Styela clava: one gene and its partners. The protein of the gene in region 3 purifies or fractionates together with the protein of the main gene of each other region. This does not show direct contact. Links are inferred from orthologs where the notes say so. Each region holds a gene or a part of one and is shown on either strand. Other genes may lie near its edges.

Region 1 (8,197 bases), on a different chromosome or scaffold from region 3:
TTATCGTGTTTCCCCGAAATTTAGACAGGATTTAGATTTATTTTTTTTTGAAGAATAACACTATTTTTTTTGGAAGAGCTCTTTTGTGTTCATTTATCAAAAATAAAATTTGAATTGTAGAAAATCACAAGATTTTCACTAAACATCATATAAAAACCGACATCTATTGTTTTTATTTGTATTTCCTATACAAAAATCAAGTGAAAAATATCATAATTGTGATATCACACAATCTTGAACAGTGGTGTGATCTTTATCTTACCTCGGGCCAATGAACCTTTCCTCTTCCACACATTTTAAATTTATTTTAAGGGTAGGGTTTAATTAAAATCATTTTGAAAATTCAAATTATTATCTTATTTTCAGACTAGGTCTTCATTTCGAGGAAACACGTTAGTTTTGCGATGATTAGCCATTGCTGTGTTATGTCATAAAAAAAATCAAATTAAAGTTAAGTGGGTCGCCATAAGCTGTGGTAATAAATAGTCTGTCCCAACTTCATCTAGAGCAGGTTCCCAATCTTTTCACCCTGACGGGCCGGTGAAATTGATTAAAATGTACTCGAGGATTGGCAAAATATTTCATGAATTAAACATAAAATAATAACATATATATGCACAATAAATACAACGTCGGGCACTCACTGTTCGTCTATGGGTAAAAAAGCACACAGAAAACATTTTATATAAAGAAAGCAGGTCCATGCCAAATCATACTCAGACACAATTAACACGAGTGAGAATTTTGCTTCTGTTTCGTTTCCAATATAAAAGGCAAACGAGGCATCAGGAAGTTTCTGCAGTACGTATGTCCGCAGTGAGTATTGAAAAGAACTTGGGAACAAACTAAACACATCTTTGATTTGGAATCAGGCACGAAATCCCGCTGGGTATACTGTAATCGAGAAAAGATCTCTGCGGCCCGTGCTTTTGTTGCGGGTATCGTGACCTCCTGTAGGCTCACATCAGGTTCATATCTTACTGGATGCCAAGGAAAGCCGTGGAATATTATACTGTTCTTGACTGTTTTCTTACGGCCTCGGGTATAAACAGAGAAATATTAATAACCACTGTACATAAAAAGTACGAAGAACAAAAAAATACCGGTGTCGATTTTAGGCTTCTGACACGTGGGAGATTTAACGGAGCGCTTTCATGACGAACCGGAAAGGCGAATTTTAAATGAAGCTAACAAACATAATCAATGGATACAAGATTTAACGAGTAACTTATTCATATTTCTGTGCAAATTTTATTAATGTAATAATCTGTAGCAGATGTATTTATCGTGTTACATAATTGAATAACTTCAACGTTTTGTCGCATGAACTTTCGATGACAATATAGTCAATGAAGACAGCCGTGGGGGGGGGGGGGGGGGGATGTAAATGTAGGCCCCTAATGTAAAATTTAAAGCTAAAAAAATAGAAGGTATTGTACGTACAAATCTCAGGTTTAAGTAGAATATTATATGGTATATATGGGTTGAAAGGGCAATTGACGTCATCGTTAATTGTGACGTAATGCTCCACTTTGGAGATGTCAATTTTTTATATTTAGTAAATTAGGCTTTTAGCATTTTGACCCACCAAAATTTAGGTTCCCCCTCGAGGGTCACCACGAATTCGATTTTTAAGCGCTTTACAGATTTCGGCCCATGGCCATCATGATTGATGTCTATGGACCTTTCCCCGACCTTTGACCCTCGGAAAATTCTCCCTATACTTTACCATTGCAAAATTGTCAAGGCTATTTCAAGAGTGCTTTTGCGAGTTGGCGTCTGTAAAATGGGGTATGTGTTTCAAACCATCATTATGATTCATCGCATACAACAATCTGTTTTTTAAAAGTACCGGTAAAGAATTTCAGGCTAGTCTATCACAGCCTAATTTTTATTACTGCAATTAAATTAAAACTCCTAGAAAGACAGAGTGATAATAATAATAATAATAATAATAATCTTTATTTTGATTTCCCCAAAAAAACATACACATAACAAATAATGAACACATAAAACAAACACACAGAATAATGGGAAATCGGGAAAACAGGCAAAACCTCGAGTAGGGTTTAAAACACGTATAAATACATGTGCCTGTTCACCCATGATATTACACTCACAAACATATTACAAAAAAAAGATAAAAACACGAACGTGTTATCGTTCCAACGTCCGGGCGTCTAACTTGTGTTACAAACAAAATGCAGGTGCGTAGGTTCTAATTTAAAACTGTTTACGTCGAAATGGACATGATTCGGGCTGTGTTTATTAAATTGGCGTAAACAAGTGCGAACTAGTGAGTTAGATAAAAGCAGTGTCAGAATGAGTAATAAATAAATCGAAATGTCTTTTGGTTGATTTCCTCTTTGTAAATAAAATCCGACGTTGTGATGTGCTGTAGTGTGCTAGGTGCAATGTTTCATAGAAAATGCCTGTCCATCTCTTTTTCCTTAGTTCTTTGCAAAGCAAATATGTAAAATTGGAATCTTGGGTAGCCTGTACAGCAATGCCAAAGTAGTCTATTATTTCGTTGTCCATCAATTAGGATGTTGATTGTTTCTAATTTTTGTATTCCATTTGTTTCCACTAACATTGAATTGAATTGAATTATCTGATTTTTATTTAAGTTCCCAAAACACAACTGAAAACTAACGAATAGAGTTCAAAAACGCGAAAACGAGGTAATGTTTACAATCACGCTTGAAAATCTGTCTGAGTGAGAAAAGTGTCTGAGCGAATGCGAAAAGGGGGCATTGTTACGTCACTTTTTGCATCTTGCTGATTGGCCAATGTCACGAAGTAAACAAGGAAGTCCATGCTCGGGGAAAGGTCCATTGCTTTGATGTCACGAAAATATGGCAACCCTAACTTAATCCAATATCCGACAGGTCACAAACATCCAGCCAGGCTCAACCAAAGTACAGGGAGAATATTTCAGGGGTCAAGGAAGGACCGGGGAAAAGTCTATCTTATCTAGATTTCGTGTCCAATAATGACCAAAAAACTCAGTGATGACTGTCTTTCATGTGATTCTACTTGTCGAGCAGACCGTGATCAATTTTTGTGAATTTATGACGTGTTGTTGATCACATGCCTGCGACTGCTCGCTTTCATCCTGTTCATATCTAAGAATCTGTAAGATTGTTAACTGTGATTGAAGGTTCAGATTGTGTGTCGATGATTCGTATAATATTTCAGTTGGATATTTGGCAAATCCCAAGCGTGGTTTTGGTCAGGATAGGATAGGATTTACATATTTATCCAGGGGGAGAGGAAAGCCGATAAGACGGCTTATGCATATGGCGAACCACGGCCTCTCGTCCGGTTAGCATTCCAAGTCGGGTATGGGATTAGTTTTACTGTATTGTTTGTTTTTCGGAAGCATGGACTTGGTGGTGGAGGAAGCCGTCAGCATTTACAGATTTATGGTACCGGTAACGACAATCCTTACCGGTACAAGATTAGGTATTACGGTAATACCGGTACTGTACCGGTACCGGCACCGTACTGTATTACGGTACCGGTACCTGAATACTGGCATCCTGCCGAATACTGGAATATGGTGTGACCCAATTTGTATTTTCTTTCTTTGTTTTGTTTCGTTTGTCTATTTCTCTTTTTCCAAGTACCGGTACTAAAGTGCAGAAGTAATACAGTAATAGTAGGTCTATACCGGTACCGGTACCGGTATCTTAATATACGGTGCGGTACAATTTTACTTCGACGTTGTGGCACATCGTGCTAAGTGTTAGGAATACACTCGCCACCACATCTCTGATTTACGGTACCGCACCCTGCGTGGGTTCGCAGGTTTGAATCCCATGCGGATGCGGGGATGATCATGTGCGAGAGGATTGCTGGACTCCTCACCGCCATAGGGTGGTTCACGTAACCGCTGGTCGTTTACTGCTTCCTGGCTTCCTTCATCATCAAATCCATGCTTCGAAAACAAAATAACTGGCTAACTAATCCCATACCCGACCTGGACTGGTAACCGGACGAGAGGCCGTGCTGCCGTGGTTCGCCATATGATTAGCCGTCTTGTTTCCTTTCCTCTCTCCCGAGATAAATATGTGAATCCTATCCTTATTTCGATCTTTCGTCTACAACACAAATTAAAATAACAAAACACAGACAAGGGCAACTGGAAGGTCGGGAAAATGGGCAAAACAGGAAAATGATTACACATCATGACAATCATACTAGAATAAATTAATGAACGAAGTACATGATCACCAGAAAATGAATTTCACGGGCGAAGCTTACTAATTTTGATGAGTGAAAGCTGTGTAGAATATAAAAACAAATAGTTATGTGACGGTGCCTGTGCCGAAATGTGAATACCAATAATAACAAATAATTGATTAGCTGCTGTTTTTTGTAAACAAATAAAGCTAAACAACAAACATGAAAACTAGTTTTGGGCGTTGCTTCGTATGTCTGTATGTTACAAAATTGGTTCGAATACGTAGAAATTGGAGTAAATGTTTTAGTCTTAGCAAAGTCCAACATTCCGGAGCTTGCTGTCAACAAATGATCAACGCAAATCTTTTTAAAGCAGCTCCAATGTATAAATGATATACAAGCTAGTCTGTATTCAATCCTGTTTGTCCGGTTTTCCAAGTTTTAGTCTTGAAATTTCTTACTCCGGTACTCCACTGTTTAATACCACATTCGCACCCGATGGCGGTCTAATGTTTTTCTTTTTTTTTCCCTTCTGATTTTATTTTGTCTGCGTGATTGTATGTCTGTATGTATAGATGTATGTATGTGCGCGCATGTTTCAATTAATTTATTACCTTTGAGTGAGCAAACATGACCACTTCCATTAACAACACCATTTTAATCTAAAATGTGTACGTTTCAAATCAGGCAAGAGAAGAGAATGCGGCTATGCGCATTAAAATGAGCGAAATGGCCAAAGATTAAACACAGCGACAAGAGCAAAAAACTTTATGTATTTTCATCTATATGAGTGTCGTTTTTCTTGACTTTACTTAGGAGTAAATTTTTGCAAATGATTAGGTTTACTTTTTTTTTACTGTGAACAAATATTATTAAAAACGAATGCTTAGGTTACGACATTTCATAATCATCTTAATATTTTCGACAGAATCAAACTAATTACTTAGAACTTTCTGAACATTACATATCAATGGCCGAGTCTACACCAAAATCCGAAGAAGTAAATGGAGAAAATTCATCGAGTGAACCATCTAATGCTTCTGCGAATAAAAACAGCCAATTTGAATGCAATATATGTTTAGATGAAGCTAATGATGCTGTCATTAGTTTATGTGGACACTTATTCTGTTGGCCATGTCTTCTTCAATGGTTGGAAACAAGACCACATCGACAGGAATGCCCAGTATGCAAAGCTGGAATCGATAGAGACAAAGTTATTCCTCTTTACGGACGAGGTAGCACCAAGCAGGAAGATCCACGGAATAAGATTCCTAAAAGGCCACAAGCTCAGAGACCAGAGCCAGAAAATAGGAATGGATTTCACGGATTTAATTTTGGTGATGGCGGATTTCAGATGTCATTCGGTATTGGTGCTTTTCCCTTTGGACTTTTCGGAACGTTTTTTAACATAAATGACGGCCGACCTCCCCCTCCGAGGCCAGATAACCCTAATTATCAAGATGAACAAATGCTGTCGAGAATCTTCCTTGGAATTGCTTGTATATTAATGTTCTGGTTATTATATGCATGAGATTGTGATTGTCAGTTTAATCGTAATTAATTTATAACGGTAAGTCTGGGAAAAAACGACCGCACTTTTTTAAATATTTTGAAGAATTTTATGTTAAAATAGAATAATTGTAAAGGACATTCATTTATTAAAATCTGAGAACTTTATAATTATTTACGTAATAATAATAGCTATGCATTATGTGAAATAAAAAATGAAAATAGAAGTCGAGTAATTGAAAATATTGACATATTGATAAGAGTTGCTTCATACAATGATAACATACACTAGGGTTAACTAGCTCCAACTGAGAATCTGATATTAAAAGTAGGCAGTGTCTTGCATGGTGTATAGTGCTTCATAGTCGTCACTTGGCGTAAATTATTTTTTAACTACCGTAGTTACAGTGGGGTTCGATTTTTATTAATGTACATAGCTGATACGAAATATGTTGTTTATTACCTTGTGCTTTTTTGTTATTGATTGTTAATTAAGTCAAACACATTCTTCGATCAACTTTGCATTGAACAGCAAATCTTTATTTTTGGATTTGTGTTTGATAAAAAAAACCTACAAATCAAATTTTTCAATTAGCTAACGGTTTCATATTATTCATACTTCATAGTGCTTAAGAAAAACTACTACTACTATCGCAATTCGACACAAAGTGTACATGTACATCGATTTGCTGAACTTTTGTTTTCTCTGTTGAGTCTTTTGGAACCCTATTTTTATCGGAACCTTTTGAAACACTTTTATTTGGTACTTGACCCATGTAATCATATAAATAGGAATTATAGATTAACTCATGATATTGAAAAAAGTCATGAATTTGTAGAGTGATTGTCACATTATCAATTTCTCTGTTTCACTTTCTCTGTTTACGATTAATTTTTCGTTTTCACAAAAACCATATAAGATTCATGGGTATATTTCACTAGAATTCCAGATTGTGCGATTTTTATTCATTGTATGTCTCTGTCCTAATGAATAGGAAATGTTCGGTGTGTATTGATTATATACCGCTAGCTCATCATAATTGCTTTGTATTAGTTCAATTTTATTGTTCATCTGATTTGGCATAAAGGAGATTGAAAACGATTCGAATATTATCAGACCAATATCACTTTAATAAAAGAGAACATTAAAAAATAAAAGTTAAATCTCTATTTTTTTGTGAAAACACTTTTATTTGTCATTTGAACTTTTGTATCCATATAAATAGGAATGATAGAGATCAATAGGGAATATGTAAATTAAATTCATCCAGAACTTTGTGTAGGCAAATGGTAGGCTATTCGTTTTTGGCCAGCCCTGGTTGTAATGATTTTCAAATGTCAGTGTTAATCATAACAGAAAATCCTAATCCATTACCTGGTCAGATTTAATATAGCATCTAGCATGGATTAGCTATTTTGAAGTTAGGCCTTTTTATGGATTGCATCATGTCTTTTCTGAGTAGGAAGAAATATACAAACCGGGACTGATGAATTACTGAAACAGATGTATGGGTGGTAACTGGAATTTATCTAGCAGTTTAACGATTGTTGCTAACTGCTAAATTATTCAATGTGGTTCACACAGAACTGAGATAATTTTTCACGTCAGGGCTGGGCTCCAGCTTCCTACCCACTGGTGTTTTTTGTTTTGATCACTACCATAAAATATCAACGCAAATCAATCTCAAGTTCAACTCGGAACTTTGAATTAATATTAGAAATTGAATTTTAAAAATATTGTTATTTGTAAGAGTAAGAAGTATAAATGTGATAAATAATTAGGAGCTGAAGCCACTAAAATTTTGGGTAGCCAATTATGGTAAGCTTAGCTTTACCTCTAACATAATGTTACGGCTCCTCTGCCTTGGTTCACACAAAGTATCTTCAAGTGTTATAGTAAACGGAAGGGTGTTCAAGTATATTTTGATGTTTCTATTATTTCGCATAAGGACTATTTCATGCTTGCTGTGCTGTTATTATCTGTGACTGAATAACATAATAATACTGTTCATGTTTTTTATTATTTTTTTTTTGATAAATGTTGTTATGAAAGTACAGAATTATATGTTCATAAGGTAATACTGGGTTTGCTACCATGCAATTCATTTTCATATTACATTAAGAGTAGATTTGTTGTGCAATGTTTTATTTAACTAATGCTCATTGAATTTGTGCGAACTTGCTTATTACAGATTGTAGTGTATGTCAGGGAGAAGCTAGTGGGAGGTGGTTACGTGGGTCATAACCCCCAACCTCCCCGTTTGAAGATTTTTTTGATGCAATGTAATTTTTAATTTCTGCGAGGCGAGTTACAAGCAATACTGGAATATATTCAATGGCGTTCCGCCGGTAACGACACACAATTCTCAGTTTGAGCCGTGCATTGTACCTTTGTTGCATTTTTAATGCCAATGTGACCCCCCCCCCCCGGTAAAAAATCCTGGCTGCACCCCCTGGTGTATGTATAGAAATTAGAATTGTTGCATTCAAATAATGAAGTGTC
Region 2 (8,198 bases), on a different chromosome or scaffold from region 3:
TTCCAAGCTCTAACAATTACCCAAAAAGAATATATTTTGGAAAACACCAACCCTTCAGACAACGTCTTGAAAAATTCGATATTTCATTTATGTTATATATATTGATACGAGTCTGTGTGTGTATGGTTAATTCCAATTCATGAAAGTATGTTTGCCGAGAGTTCAAATAATGGTATTTCACGATCTCTTATGGCCATTGTAGTTTGAAATATGAAAAGTTGTTTTCACGCCGTTTTTAGGTTTTCTGTTCACGTATCGTTGGAGGCTGGACAAAGACATTGAACTTATGTTGGGAAGGAAACCAATGTGGTATTTCAGAATCTGCTGGGCTTTTGTTACACCGGTCATGCTTGTGGTAAGTAGCCAATCAGTGTGAGGCTAGATTTTAGTAGGTTCTAACTATAATATTATACCTCTGTCATTGTCTGATTTCAATGGGGCAAAAGGCAAAAATGGAAAATAGACTACAAAACACAGTAGATGAGAGAATTTGCTCAAACTAAAGTCAATGCAAAGTTACAGGTAACCACTGGAATGCAAAGAGACTACAATTTCATGTATGAAGGTGCACTCACTCAAAGGGAAGATACTCTTCTTTGAGCTAAATCACAGGGGCTAATGCTATGCCAAGAGTTATGACTATTACTTTCAGTCCTGACACTGGGGAAATAGTTGTCGAAATGAGGTGGAGTGATTTTCAAATTAATTTACGGAGTCGAAAGGTCATTTGATTGACACTACAAGAATTGAAAGTTGAATTTTAACATAAACTGAACTCGAAGATTGCAGACGATATCGTAGCCGAACTTCATTATTATTGAGCCGTATTGTTTGTATCTGGAGTCATAATTCTGAATTTTGTTTACCGGAGTCGGAGTTTCTGAGCATATCGAAGTCGAATGGACATGAAACCATTCTCCAATAATAAAGGCCCTGAACTTCCAAGTAACTGAAAACTAATATCTCAATTTACAGTTCGTCATTGTGATGGCATGTCTCAGCTATGGACCGATATCGTTGTCTGGAGAAGTATATCCAAAATGGGCGGATGACCTTGGTATGTGCATGTCAGTTACAATTGCAGCGGTTGTGCCGATATATGCAGTATATGCGATGATAAAAGCTGTGGTAAAAGGGGATTCGATTAAAGATGTAAGTATGTGTGCCGTGTATGCATTTGGTTTATCTCAGGAAAAGGTGCAATAAAATTTTTGATAATACGAGCCCATGTGGAATTCATTTGACTTTAATCCTTCCACTTCTATAGTACGCAATAGCTCCTGTCCCAACTTATATGGATATCAATCGTCGTAATCTGTTACATGTTAAAATAATTCTGCAAAAATACAGCAAAAATTAAACCACTTCCAATACAAAACTGCAAGTTTTTGATTGAAGTACCTTGTTAATGGTACGTGTCGCACAGCCATTTAAAACATAAAGTTCGGTCACTTTTTATCGGATGCCATTCTTATTGTCACAGCTGTTCAAGCCGGACCCATCGTTCTGTCCAGCTGATCGAACCATTGCTTACGATCATCTTCATGGAGCTGTGAATGATCACAAGATGACTGCTTATGCCGTCAGTCCGTCTTCTTATCAACAGAAAGTGGATGATTCAATTCCAAACGCTTATCCTGAATTGTAAAGAGATACGTTTCTCATAATATCTAGTCCTACTAATACTGAAACTTAACTCCCCTAAGTCAGCAGTAGAATAGTTCTAAAATATTGCATTAAATCATTTCTTTCTACTTTTTCTATGATGTAAAAAAGGATCGTAAATGAGAAATACGCGGCCGCGATATTGTAACTCCGTTATCAGTAAAAATCAGACTATCGGAAAATCCCCTAGGATAATTACATATCAAATAATATTAATAAGCTGTAATGGGCAGTAAATAAATATATAAAAGTGATTTGATGGTAATTCGAAGGGAAATTGTACAGAAAGAAATCTACCGCTATCTACACTATTTCCTTCGCTCGAAAGTGCCGTTCCACTTTATTTTTATATTTATTATGTGCGGTGGGTGTATTCAGTATAACGAAAAAATAACTACTTGTTACTAATCACGACTTTTCCTACGTTCTATGAATATCAAATTGACAACGGTGAAATATACTGAAAACGGTGATATATACTGAAAATAGATGTATAAAAAGTTCATTTTTACTTTAAAAATAACGTATAAGCTTGATTTTTTATGAATGAAGCGAAAACGAGTGTAAAAATATTTGTTTTTTTTTGTTTGCTGTTGTATAGGTATTTTTATACTATACAGTGCATACAGATAATGTAACATAGTAATTTTTATATATTCAAATATATGAATAAAATACATAACACTTTGCACAGTAATGCATCTTTATTTCTAATCGGATTGTAAAAAGAGCGGCAAAATATACAGTAGGTATAAAAATTTGCCAAGAGACAGGATTGAAGTTCATTGAATAATAAATTATTTCATTATAAATAAGCGCACATGATTCAACCGAGATTGACAAAAGTTCTATTGAAATAGCAAATAATATTTATATACATAGATATGACGGATATAAAAGAGGTCTAGCTATATTAACAGCAACACACTTTGGTATTTTGATGTTCTAGGTATTTTTCTTCTTCATTGGTGTACAATATTCAGTTTATAGTGACATAAACAACTGAGTTGCAGATTGCTACAGAGAGTCGAATAAGTTGAGTGAGAGCATTGCTATATTTTGTTCATTTATATATAAGTGCAAAGAACACGACGAACCACAAAATTTAGAATAGGCTGAGGCGGCCCGAGCAATCTTCCCATCCATCTGTGGCTCTCCAAGTGGCCACGTGACGCCTTATTTCATAGCCAACAGCAAACCAGTGCTCACCGGGGATCTCAGTAGTATTGACTATTGCACATTTTGACACTACAGAATCCCTGTCTGTGGCGCGAATCTCTTCTTGAATATGGCGCAGGAAAGCTTCATATGAAAATACACCTGCGAACCAATTTCCCGTGGAAAAATTATCAACGGCGTGATGGAATATTCTTGAAATCTCTTCATAATCTGCCCTCCCAGATTTTATGAGATTTGTGATACTTTGGAGTAAGGACTTGAAGTTCCCATCCTTCGCTCGGCCCAGGCAATGTCGCAGTAATTGCTTTATGAATTCGATAGTAAGACGATGTTCGTGGCCCATGTTGCCAGTCTCTCCGGAAGCATCCACAAGAAAATATTTCAATTCTCTAATTCTTTGAAATAAATTAAATGCTGCATCGATAGGTGTCAATTGATGTGACAAATGAAAATTAACATCGAGAAATTCGATGTTTCGAACGATTTCGCAAATTTGAACATCATTAAGACGAATCGCTCCTGTGTTGCTGTGTAAGCCGATCATGTAATTAAACATCTCTATCACTTTATCAGGAGTATTAAAAAGTGACGGGTTCGATAATTCGATTTCCCAGTCAGGTTTACGAAGAATGAACGCACTACATATTGAGATATAACCGCATTGATCTCGTCCTTGTTCATTCGGGTATAATTTCACCTGGCCGTCAAAATACTCCAGACCGATTTTTAATAAACGTTCTCTCAGAAGATTCAAAGCGTAGTGCATAGGGACCGAGTCGACTAATACGAACGTCCCTGAATATTGTACCAAGGCATCACTTTCCGGCTGTATTGAATGACTGTGCAATGTTTGAGTTTGTGCAATAGAGTTATTGGTCGAAATTACGGGTATTGTGGTTTTCCGATGCATGGAAGCGCACGTATTCTGGTTCACACGTATGTCCCTGTGCAGTGTTTGCGTAACAACAGAGTCATTGGTTAAAACTTCGGGCATGATATTTTGCCTTTCCACATATTCGCCCGAAGCGCTTGGATCCGAATTGTTTTCATCGTTCCGATTAATAAATCTTAGCCCACTAATACAATTATCTGTTTCATCGCTCTCTTCGTCTGCCCGTTTCGCTAACAAAGCAAAGTTTGCATTGTCATCACTACTTTCTGAATGTGTACGTTCATGGGCCATTGCGAAAACAGCTCGAAGTTCAAACCAGTGACTGAGACACCGGCCTTGCCGATAAGGGACACGTAAAATATCTCAATAGCACAATGAAACATAATTTCCTCCACACGCACGAACTTGTCCAACTCTAGCCCTAAATCTGTGACTGCTTTCTGAAACCCTCTGTGCCCATTGGTATTTCGTAACAAAAATTTCACTTCCTGTTTCATGTAGGTGTCACATTCAGGTAAGATCCGTTCTGGCTGAGTGAATAAAACTATACGCACACACACAAATATCCTTCGATACCGCCTGCCATTTAAATTTTGCCAGACGATAAATAAACACAGTATAATAATCGCTAATTCATTTATACAGTGCCATTGTATAAAATAATATAGATGGATGGAATTTGATTTTATGCGTTCGTAGGCCGTTCTCATTACATACAAAAACACCACAACACAAAAGCAATGAGTAACAGAAGGGATTTGAGAAAATTTAGAAACACATATTTTGCGATCGACATCGTCACACTATTGATGACCGGTGACTTTTCAGGTACCCATGTACTCTCGAAATTTCCGCGTGAGTTTTTATTCACTATAATATTATTCTATAAGTAATCATTATAATCATTTGATCTAGTTTCATTTTAATACGTGGGTAAACACAAAAATGAAAAATATCATTTCGTTCGATAACGAAAAACAAAAAATGGTGGACAACCGCAAGATGCTTAATTAATCTGGCATCATCTGAATTTTCTAACATATGGTTTTAATTCAACAATATGACGTTGAATATTTCGTGTCATATCATAATCGAAATAATATAACACGCCTAGTAGAACACGCGTCCAATTTCCCTTTTGTAAAAAGTAAAATTTTCAAAAAGAGTTTTGCTTAATAAATACGAATATGTTTTAAAGGACACAAAACAGATAAAACTTAATTTAGAATTAATTTTTAACACGTAAAATCAAAAATTTACTGCGTGCTCAAAATACATTTTAATAATTCACCTAATAAAAAATATCAACAGGAACACTAATTTTTACGCGTGGGGTTAATGATGAAATTTTCTTATTGTGGTTATCTTTATTCAAAGCGTTATAACAAGCTTATTAGTCCGGCTGTTTTCAATCTGGTATATTTCCTACTTCGGGACTTAATTTATTCGAGATGTTGGACTTTTTTACTATTTTGAGTAAAGGTGGATTTGTGCTTTGGTGTTACACTTTTCAAGGCATCAAGACAAATATATCAGAGCCAGTTAACGCCCTGATAAAAGGTGTTATTCTTCAGGTAACGATTGGAATTTTTTAATTCTATGCATCTGCGCGTCAAGCACAACTAGGTACCGTACCGAGCTAAGGATTATTTGAAATTCCAAGTATAGAATTAGCTACTACTTTGTTTTTGTAATTTTTAGTCAGAGGCAGAAACCAAACACCTACGAACAGTACCGGTAACAATGTTTCAAATCTGCAAATCAGAAATAGGTAGTTAAAGTTTGATTGTTGTATACCGGTACCTGTCCGTACCTCCTGCCAATTTGCCATTGTTTAATGTGTAAATAAATGCTGGAATGAGGGGTATAGCGAAGTACACGCCGTACCATACTGCCATAAGTGTCTAAATAATGCCAAACAAGAATGTTATGTGAAAATGAATGCTGTGAGGGCTTAAATAACGCAAAACGAAATATAATATCTGAATGTAAAAATAGAACCCAAATTGCAATAAATATACTGGTAAGTCTGTCATGTCGGAACGCACAGTACCCATCTGGCATGCCCTGTTTAGTTGAAAATTGAGTGGTTTTGATTTGACTAAACGTGTCTGTCAAGAATTCTATTCTTCACAAAACAGATGTTTTTAAAAAAACACCAAAATTTCATATCAAATTTTTGTTTGGCATTATTTGACTAAGCAGTTTTGGGATCTATTTTACATTACATTTGTTTTGACGTTATTTAAACACTCAAGGCATGTACTTTGCTAGACCTGAAATGGGAGTAGTGGAGCTTGGAAAATTCATTCCCATATCATATTTCAAATTTGCATCATTTTCCAGATTTTCCCAAACTTTTTTGTGTTCATTGTTTTTTGTATGGTTTTTTTTTTTTCGGGGAAATTGAAATAAACTTATACTATACTTATCAATTCTCCATATTTTCAGGAGCGAGGTGGAAGTTCTCGCTTTGATCATGGATCATTAACATTAAAATATAAACTTGACAATGAATTTGAACTTGTGTTTGTGGTAAGTTGGATAATTCATTTTGTATATGCTTTTTACCTCAAACCCAGCCCAGGTCTAGCTTATCAGAGGGATTTCATTTATTTTACAAAGCTTGCTTACATCATGAAGATTATGTTTTTAATAATTGAATATTTTTTGTTTTATTCATGGCAATGTTGAGTTTTGTAGTATAGATTAAATTATATAGCAATGCGGGATACTAGGATGATAACATAATATCAGATATGACCATCTCTGTTTATGGTATCCAAATCTATTAATATTCATATTTTGTTGATATCATACATGCCACAATCAATTTATGGATTGCTGTTTCGTTCACAATAAAACTACACCATTTCTCCTTTCTGATTAATTTAAATAGTTGGTCTATTTGGTATTTGTATATACATCATGATTTACAGAGAAAAAAACAGGATTTTTATCATCTGCATTCTCAAATATACATATTATCCCAGAACACTATTATTTTTAAACTTCAGTATTTATTTTTATATTTCTCTATTTTAGCATTCATGTTTTACATTCGTAGTTGGGTCCCATGATCCCAAGTTTCGGTTTTTCCAGTTTTAGTTCTGTGATCTCTGGTTGACTTGATATGTTTTTTGTTTTGCCATTAGGTTGGTTATCAGAAGATTTTATCTCTGACGTATATTGACAAATTTATCGACGATGTCCACCGTACTTTTAGAGATCTTTACCGGCAAAAACTGGAAAATTCCGGTTTTATCAAGTTGATCAAAGAGGAGTTTGAATATGGAGAAAAATTTCTCAAAATGTTAAAGTAAGCCCATAATTTTTTTTCGAGATTTCCTTATCACTATGCATAGCAGTTGCAGGTTCCAATCTCGTAATGAGTGAATATGCATGATTGGATCACTGGAATTTCTGACAGATTTTATCGCCCATGTCTCTGAAGTTTATTTACATCCCACTTATTCACGAATTATGCTCCAAACAAGTTTTTTGCGGGCATCCTAATATCTAATGGTATGTAGGGAGCCATTCTTTTTGTAAGTACCAAAATCTGTAGAATTTGGCATTGCCTATCAATTTATTACATACTGTGTAAGACAGTGGGCACAGGGTTCAATCCCAAGATTTTTAACCTGTGATGTCAGCAGAGTTGAGTCTAACTCAGGCGGGTAAGGTTTTTAACCAGGGGCTGGTGGGTCATGTAAGTGTGACGTAAAAAGTTACATTTTATGAACAATATTTACAGTGTTACAAAGCAAAGGTGGAAAACAATATGCCTCATGCGAAAACTAAATTTAACCGCAATCTCAACAAATTCCTTGAGCTATTTTTAGCTAAAACATTAAAATTTGATTTCAGTTTGGTTGTGGCAGCTTTAGGCGGGCCAGATTGAATTACGTAACGGGCTGGGTTTGGACCACGGGCTGTACTTTACCCATGTCTGGTCTAACTGCTTTGGCATGCCTGAGATAGGGGACAACTTTTTAAAATGAATATGGCCCTCTCGTTGTGTACATATATTCATATATCTGTCCATGCTTGTCTTATTGCTAGTTTTAGTCGAGTTATAAATGACGTTAAATAATGATATTTCATCAGGGCTGCTGAAGCAATTAAAGTGCAAACTAAAATGAAGGATTTCCATGAATCTGAAAAATCTAAGAAAACTGTCAAATCATTGAAAATGGACAAGAAAGAAAAAGATAAAAAAGTTGAAAATGAAGTTGTTGCTCCAGTTGTTGCTAAAGGTTGGATTGTTAATCGATTTTTACCCTCAATGTCGACGATTTTAAACTAATTCCAAATTGTGAAGTATCATTCTTGAGTTCTATCATCCATTCATATAGGATCCCAACCCCTTTCCTGAAATTCCTCTCTCACTGAGCATAAAAAGTACCAATTTATTCAATCTTTAATTGATTCTTAGCTGGTGTTATGCACAAATCACACT
Region 3 (7,634 bases):
GTTGGTTGGGAGCAGACATTACAGCCAGAGCTGTTTTCAAATTTGACTGTGCATTTTTCCAGACTAGTGTTTATCCTATTAGATCATTATTCAATTATACATTCTTGTTTTTATTATACTATAAATTCAAGTAAGACTTAGAAGTTTTCATGAACAATTTCGACAATATCTGCTCGCTTTTGAAGCTATTATAGACTAGTCCACTTAGTTGTAAGATCATGCTCATTATTATGTGTACTTGTTGAATCCCACTATATTTTATTGCTCTAAACCAGCGGGGGCACCATCATGCCAGAAAGCGCAAAACTGATGTTACTTTTACTAGAAAACTCCCCGTCTTGCTTGCTGAGGTTATTTTACAAGGTGCTTTCACTTTGTTGAGCAAGAATTGTTTGAAAATAATAGGATTTGGAATCTACCAATCTAAATAACATCATAAATACCTCTGGAATGATAAACAAGGGGCCATCAGTGCTAAATGCCTCCTAAAGGGGGCCATGAGGCATAAAAGGTTGGGAACCACCGCTCTAAACATATTCCTGTTTTATATCTGCCTAACCCAGAAAATACATTAAATCTCACTCCATATACTCATTCTAACCATTTGCCTCTTCCCTTACCCATGCATGGTCGTCATGGTTACGGCTGGGAGTTTTTGTCGAACTTTCAGTATTTGGGGGCAATGCTCTATCTAAATATAATGAAGTCTTAAATGTTTCATAAATCATGTTGTTTGTTTCAGCCCGGTGATGTGATCACCTGTGAAGTGGAAGGAATTGGGAGAATAACTAATACAGTTGTTGCAGAAGAATAAAAATATGTTCAAATGATTTTATTGAAAAAATTGCAATCAGTTTTCATGTAATTTATGCAAAGTGTTGGCAGAACTGTCAAGTGGGAATTAGTACTTCTTACTATTATTAAAATTTAGGGTTATTTGGTATAATACCTCTAACGAATGTATCAGAATATGGCATGTGTTTTTCCAATGGCCTTAAGATCCTTTTGATCATGATGAAATATATGTATAATACGATTCTGAATTGTGATTGTTGAATCTTAAAATTCTTCTCAATCAATTTTGATTTTCATATTTTTCGCGAAGTGAATTAAATAAGCCTCTTCATTTATCTAGCATGATTATACAAGTGATGATCTCTGTACCATCTCTTTTGAAATAAATATTGAAAGTTCTATACCGCTCTGTTATGAGTTGAGGTAAAAATCATCGGCGAATAAATTCTCCATCTGCGCAATGTCTTGAATATAAATATTACTGATCTTGGTATAAATGTGACTTGATCTTCTTTGGGCACTCATTAGGATTGTAGAAATCTTAGAACAATTTTTAAATCTGTGTCTTCCTGTATATTATGTAGGTGTGAGTCTACTGGTGAAATATTTTTTAGCTATGGTGCTTGTTGGGAGGATTTCATGAACTTGACATTATGTGGTTTGAATTCTCAGCAAAACTTATTGTCTGTAGCAGCCCATAATCAGTGTTTAGGATTACCAATTTACATGCTCAACAGGTTGTAGGGTGGATATGGCCTCTTTTCTCTCCAAAAAAAAAAAAAATTTAGCGAAATGGTCGTAAGGTCATACATGCCCAATGACTAATGTAGCCACACATTTTCCCTTTGGACACCTAGAATTTTTTGAACCAACCTGCTCTGCAGCGAGCATTTCCCCTGTGAATTCTCTACAAGCAAACGTCCATAATAGTTCCTTCTCTTATATTTCCACAAAGAAAAGATTTCTCAGAAATGAATAAAGCAATAATTGCAACTGGGATTAATATAGGTTCACACTCATTCTTTTATTAAACAACCACCAAAAAACAAAGGAAAATGGATTCCAACAATCAGTGAATCCGAATTTCTCAAACTGTGTTCTGTGGAAACAGAACAGCCTCGAATCTAAATTGCTCGATTTTGGGTCATAAATTTGTTTCACAAATGGCAACATACAGGCTGACAGACCTTGAGCCAGTCTATCACCCTTTTCACAATTTCTTGGTGTTCCAAAACAAAAAAAAATTTGAGAAAAGGCTGCTCTATAAACACTCATGCCTGTCTATTTAACCAAAGTAATAGTTCATCAAGTCGAGACTCATTTTCAGAGTCACCTTTAGCGTTGCATTCAATGAAATCAACCTTCAATTTTCCTAAATGAGAAAATTCAAATGGCTTCCCCTTTACACCGAGATGCACAGTTGCTTCTTCTCCATCAATCGAACTCAAGGCCGCAGATCTAGTTTTCCGAACTGTGTTCAACTCTTTTTCTAAGTGATCTTGGATTACTTTTTTTGATTTTGAAGTCAATAGGTCTTGCTTGTTGCATGCAATCAAAAGAGGCGGCACGCATTTCAAGACGTTCTGGTCGGTCAAAATATTAAATAAATACTCCGCAACATCTTTCAAATCCTTAGAAAACGACTCGCTGTCAATGAGAAAAATAATTCCTTTTGCAGTATCTTTAAATTGGTCAAAAAACTTTTGCCGGATTGCTTCTTGGCCAGGGATATCAATGATATTAAGAGCTCCTTTTTCTGATGCGTACGTTGCTTGATTTTCTTTCAACGATGTTACAGTTTCAATCTCCTGTCCAGTTAGTATTTTACTCAAAAGATAAGTTTTCCCGGCACCACTCAATCCGACGAATAAAATTCCACGTCGCTTGACTTTTCCGCCAGCAACTAGTTTCCATACAAGGTAAAATAGGAGAGAAATAATGAACGAAACTCCGAACACAAAATACAACATGTTTTCCTCTCCCACATATTCCTGACAAATGTCTAAATATCGTTCGATTGAGTATGACATGTCAATGATTGGTTCACAACATCTATAGTTCATAAATCTGAAATATAGAGACAGTTTTCTTGATCAAAAAGCCGTAATATACATACACAGAATAATGCAACAATATTTTTTAAAGGTAATGTGCACTCTTTCAAAAATGTGCAAGTCTACCAGTTACTTTGGTCATCGCTAGGGATGCAATGTGAGAGATTGGGGTTTTAATCAAGTCAATTTATTATGGTATTGGAGCGAGAATTACTTCTATGATTCACAGCAGTGGCTAATTACACCACGGCGGTAAAAGGGTTGCAAAGTATTTATTTTTCGCCATGAAAATTTTCGTGACAAGAAGGTTCAAAATTTTCAACCCCTGAGTCTCGTCTGTATTCTTAATTAGCTCAATTAGGCCTCAAGGGAGTCCATAGCCATGCTTGCTATAGTATCACTCAGCATGACTCACTAACACAATTGAGCATGTAAATAAAAGTAGTCGCAAGAATAAATAATGAGAAAATATTTTAAATTTAATTGAAACTGGTCCTGGCTTGGTGATATTCAGACCAAATCTTCAAAATTTACAAAAATGCGACTGTTTAGTTGTCAAACTAAATTTCCTCGTTATTGTCATGTCCATAATACTCTGCTTGTCCACAGCATTGTAAGAATGAGATCATGAGAAAAACAAAATATTATGCAATCTCCACTGCTTAAAAAGGTATTCTCCAGTACATATATATATATATATACAAATTCCATATATTTTCACAAAAATATCCGGCGAATAATATTCTGTCTCATTTGCAAACACATGCGCCATGAAACAAAACTCATAATAGAATAAAGAATAAAACTGGCATGATTTCCTTCAATCACATGAAATAAATGTACAATAAAACAAGAAATCTTGTTGATTCACAGCAACACCAAAATTCCCATAATGAAAACAAAAATCAAGAATTTATCCTTGTATTACCGGTACATCAGTAATTAATATCGATCCGGTTTTCCTCTATATCCTAATCTCTAGAAAACCAACGATAGTTTAAAATCTGCTTACAATCCGATAAAAAAATTCAACAATGACATGAACACATAAACAATAGGAAATTTACATCATCAGATCACATCATTTTCAACGTTGGGTCAAAATCCTTGGGAAGTTTGTTCCCTTATATTTGTACAATTGTGGGAACCCCGGGCCTAGAAAGGACCATTGGGAATAAATCCTATTTATTGGCATACTCTTCAACATCATCAATTATTAAAAAAGTGAAGCATAAGAAAAAATTAAATATCCAATGAGCATTATGAGTTTAAACATAGCAAAACACTGTAACTTTTCATATATAGCCTAAGTATGCTCAAGTAATCTGGTGAGCTTTCATGCAAGCCATATTCCAATTGCGATTTTAGTCTTTAGAATATATTATTTTAAATTGTATTCTTACTTATAAATCAATCATTTGCCACCAGGCCCTCCACCCTGTTGAAACTGTCTCATCATGTTTGTGAGTCCCTGCATGCCACCCATTTGATGCAAAACCCTTGGGTCCATCATTTTTGCCATATGCGTATTAAGTCTGGCCATCTGTGACGGGTTAACATTTTTATCCATTCCGCCAGGTTTAAAAAGTCCTTTCATGCCTCCCATCTTTTTGACCATCTGCGCGAATTTTCCATATTGCATCATAAGCTCGTTGACTTCTTTAGGTAGCGTACCAGAACCCCTCGCCACTCTTGCGACTCTACTTGGCTGCCTAGTGAAAAGTTTAGCTCCTTCTTTACTGTCAAGTTCATCATCTGTCATGCTGTCCATAATTGTCATGAGTTTTTTTAGTCGTTCCATCGAGTCCTTTTCATGTCCTTTTGTCATGAAATCGTTAAATCCTGGTATCATACTCATAATTTGACTGAATGGCCCCATTTTCATAATATTTTGAAATTGTTCGTACATGTCTCGTAAAGTGAATTGTCCGTGTTTCAATTTGTCTAATAGTTCTTCATTTTCATCCAATTTCAGTTCGTTAACTTTGTCGATAAGGCCTTCAATGTCACCCATATTAAGAAGTTTTCGGATAAACGGTTGCGTTTTAAACATTTCGAAATCGTCAATATGTTCACCAGTACCTATGAAAATGATCGGTGATTTTGTAGCTGCAACTGCGCTAAGTGCACCTCCACCTTTCGCATGGCCATCAAGTTTTGTAATGATAACAGAACAAACATCGACTTTTTCCTTGAATGCTTTTGCTTGCGATTCGCATGCCTGTCCAATTGTGGCATCCATTACAAAGATGACATTATCAGGCGCAACGGCATTATATACTTGTAACATTTCCTCAAAAAGAGCATCTTCTTGCTTGTGTCTTCCACTTGTATCGACAATAATGATTTCAAAGTTTTCTTCTTTGAATTTTTCTACCCCCTCTTGCGCAATAATCACAGGATCAGCTTCAGTATAACTGCCGTAAAACGGAATACGAGCTTTCGTTGAATTTTGTTTTAACTGATCGAAAGCTCCGGCACGAAAAGTATCCGCACAGATTAGACATGTTTTCCAATTTTTTCGCTGATAATGATACGCAAGCTTAGTACAAGTCGTTGTTTTTCCACTACCTTGAAGACCAACAAACATAATTACATTAGCTTTACCTTTTGTTGGCTGCCATGCTTTGGTACCTGGGTCGACAAGTTTCACAAGCTCCTGGAATACAGCGGATTGAATCATTTTACGCTTGTTCAAACCAGATGCCATATCATCGAAATCAATCGCTGAGCGGACATTTTCTCGCATCTGCTTAACGAGTCGAATGTTGACATCTGCTTCGAGTAAGGCTCGACATATCTCCCCGAGCATTGATTGTAAAACTTCTTCATTGATAATGGTTGCATTGCTCAGAGAACGCAAAGCGTCCGTGATCTTTCGACCAAGATCTGCTAACACCATTTTGCTGCTTTACTTCTTTTCTCCAAATTAATATTATAATCTATGTTTAGATCTATCAACTGTAAATTGTATAAAATTTACTGATAAATACTGAATTAAATTATATGTTTGGGAATTCAATCTAGTAGGCATAAACAACAAACCGGTATTTCGGTTTTTTAATATTCAGATATTTACAGATTTACCAAGAGGCCTTGTCCCATTGCTAAGTCATTTAAAAAGTTGTAAAAAGTCTGCAAGTTGTGAATACCCAGCATGTACCGGTAGGCTAGGCATTGAATTCATTTTCCATTAGAAAGTATTTGTTACCAGTTCATTTAGTTCAACATACTGACATGGTCTGATGGTGTCAAATCGGCTATTAAAAACTGAACCCATTTCCTGATTTCAACATTCCGATTCTTAAAGATGTAATCTATGTACCGTACTGTAATGCTTAAGATACCGAACTGCAGTTCCAGTCTTGATAATCTAGAATTTTCTAAAATTTAAACTAAAAAAAACAAAAACTCAGAGACGCAACCTGGAAACGGGAAAGCACCGACAAGAACTTCTCCATTGCTTCCACGATGGCTTGTATTGCTGATGACGTCCATCGAAAAGCAAGCATATGGATGGTTGAGTACCAGTCAGGCATATAAAGAAATATTTTTTTTACCTTTTTTGACAGATAAATAAATTTAGGAATTTCATTTGTAATAGTTCTGAGGTACTTTTTGTCAAATGTTAGTTACATTCAAACCCATGCATCTGAAACAAATACACGTAACCGGTTACCGCCTTGAACCACTAACCGGGAGGGAAGCCGTGGTTCGCCGTATCGACTATCTTCTAAATTGAAATAAAAATGTGAAATTCCTATCCTATTTGAATTATTTATAATTTAGATTAGTTCTCAGGTTGCTAGATTTTAAATTTCAACAATGTTCTCAGAAAATGATTTGATTATTACTTCATAATCTAATCCATTCTGACGACACAGAGGAAACTGTAGTTTCCATGACTGCAGTAGAATTGAAATTTTTCTTTTGAATGCTGTACCGAAAGAACCTGGAGTCAAATTTTTATTTGAGTAACTGAAATAAATGTGAGTATCTAACATTATTCTATAAGCAAGAAAGATGCTGATATTGGCGAAACCTCTGGAGAGCGGTGTACGTGTGTTGACTCACATTCCGCCAACTAACGTTATGTAATATTGTTTTATTTTTATAAAAATCTACTGAAAAAACATGTCATGTATCTGGAATGTTAACTTCATACCCGAACTCTATCAGCTTTTCACTTCAATTTATCAACTTCTAAACTAGTTTTGCTTTGACCTGTTTTACGCACGTTTTAGGTGTTAGGGCCACTCTTGCCATCGCTCGCAACCTGCTCTGTTTCGTAGGTTATGTCAGGTTAGTATTTGATATTGTTTTAGCTTGGTAGTTTGCTCATCGTGGCGAATGTTTCAAATACATTCTAGCATTTGCTTTCTTTCGGATTCCTCCCGTGTGTTTTGCGTGCTGCTGTGTAAAAAAGAAAGCGTCATTAACTTTACTTGATAAACTTTAAAACACATTTATCAGACTACTTATTACCCTGCGAGCTAGAGGATTGTTTGACTGACTCCTCGCTATCCAATAGGGATTCACATAGCCACTCCTGCTGCATCTTTCTTATTTTAATCGTTAGCTATTTTCTTAACCGACTTGAAGGAGAGGCGACGTTTTCTATTAGGCTCCCATTATGTTATCTTGAAAATATGTCGCCAAACATTGTGGATTAGTTGGACGAATTGTATCCTTCGTTTCATTTTGTTCCGAAAATTTATATAAAATTAAATTCGTAACATCGTTTGTGAGATGTTACGTTGAAGCGAAAGCTTGGTAATCTTTAAA

What was found. Proteins that work in one complex are often made in the same cells at the same time.
Region 1: the proteins of signal recognition particle receptor subunit beta-like (region 3) and E3 ubiquitin-protein ligase RNF185-like purify together in Homo sapiens (affinity purification with mass spectrometry; 3 studies listed by BioGRID and IntAct, with this or other methods). This does not show direct contact. The link is inferred for Styela clava from reciprocal best matches to the Homo sapiens genes SRPRB and RNF185.
Region 2: the proteins of signal recognition particle receptor subunit beta-like (region 3) and signal recognition particle receptor subunit alpha-like purify together in Homo sapiens (affinity purification with mass spectrometry; 6 studies listed by BioGRID and IntAct, counting the BioPlex papers as one, with this or other methods). This does not show direct contact. The link is inferred for Styela clava from reciprocal best matches to the Homo sapiens genes SRPRB and SRPRA.

Annotation. Positions count from the first base shown.
Region 1 is NC_135251.1:12,014,243-12,022,439, reverse strand, and holds the start of E3 ubiquitin-protein ligase RNF185-like, read left to right. Parts: upstream 1-5,100; 5' UTR 5,101-5,155; coding exon 5,156-5,716; 3' UTR 5,717-8,197. UniProt on the Homo sapiens protein: E3 ubiquitin-protein ligase that regulates selective mitochondrial autophagy by mediating 'Lys-63'-linked polyubiquitination of BNIP1.
Region 2 is NC_135253.1:18,725,116-18,733,313, reverse strand, and holds the start of signal recognition particle receptor subunit alpha-like, read left to right. Parts: upstream 1-5,101; 5' UTR 5,102-5,187; coding exon 5,188-5,310; intron 5,311-6,187; coding exon 6,188-6,271; intron 6,272-6,891; coding exon 6,892-7,055; intron 7,056-7,846; coding exon 7,847-7,995; intron 7,996-8,198. Other genes in the region: sodium-dependent proline transporter-like, read left to right, coding at 240-355, 976-1,152, 1,484-1,648. UniProt on the Homo sapiens protein: Component of the signal recognition particle (SRP) complex receptor (SR). Ensures, in conjunction with the SRP complex, the correct targeting of the nascent secretory proteins to the endoplasmic reticulum membrane system.
Region 3 is NC_135264.1:14,566,757-14,574,390, forward strand, and holds signal recognition particle receptor subunit beta-like, read right to left. Parts: upstream 2,863-7,634; 5' UTR 2,859-2,862; coding exon 2,067-2,858; 3' UTR 976-2,066; downstream 1-975. Other genes in the region: oxaloacetate tautomerase fahd2, mitochondrial-like, read left to right, coding at 743-814; signal recognition particle subunit SRP54-like, read right to left, coding at 4,264-5,751. UniProt on the Homo sapiens protein: Component of the signal recognition particle (SRP) complex receptor (SR). Ensures, in conjunction with the SRP complex, the correct targeting of the nascent secretory proteins to the endoplasmic reticulum membrane system.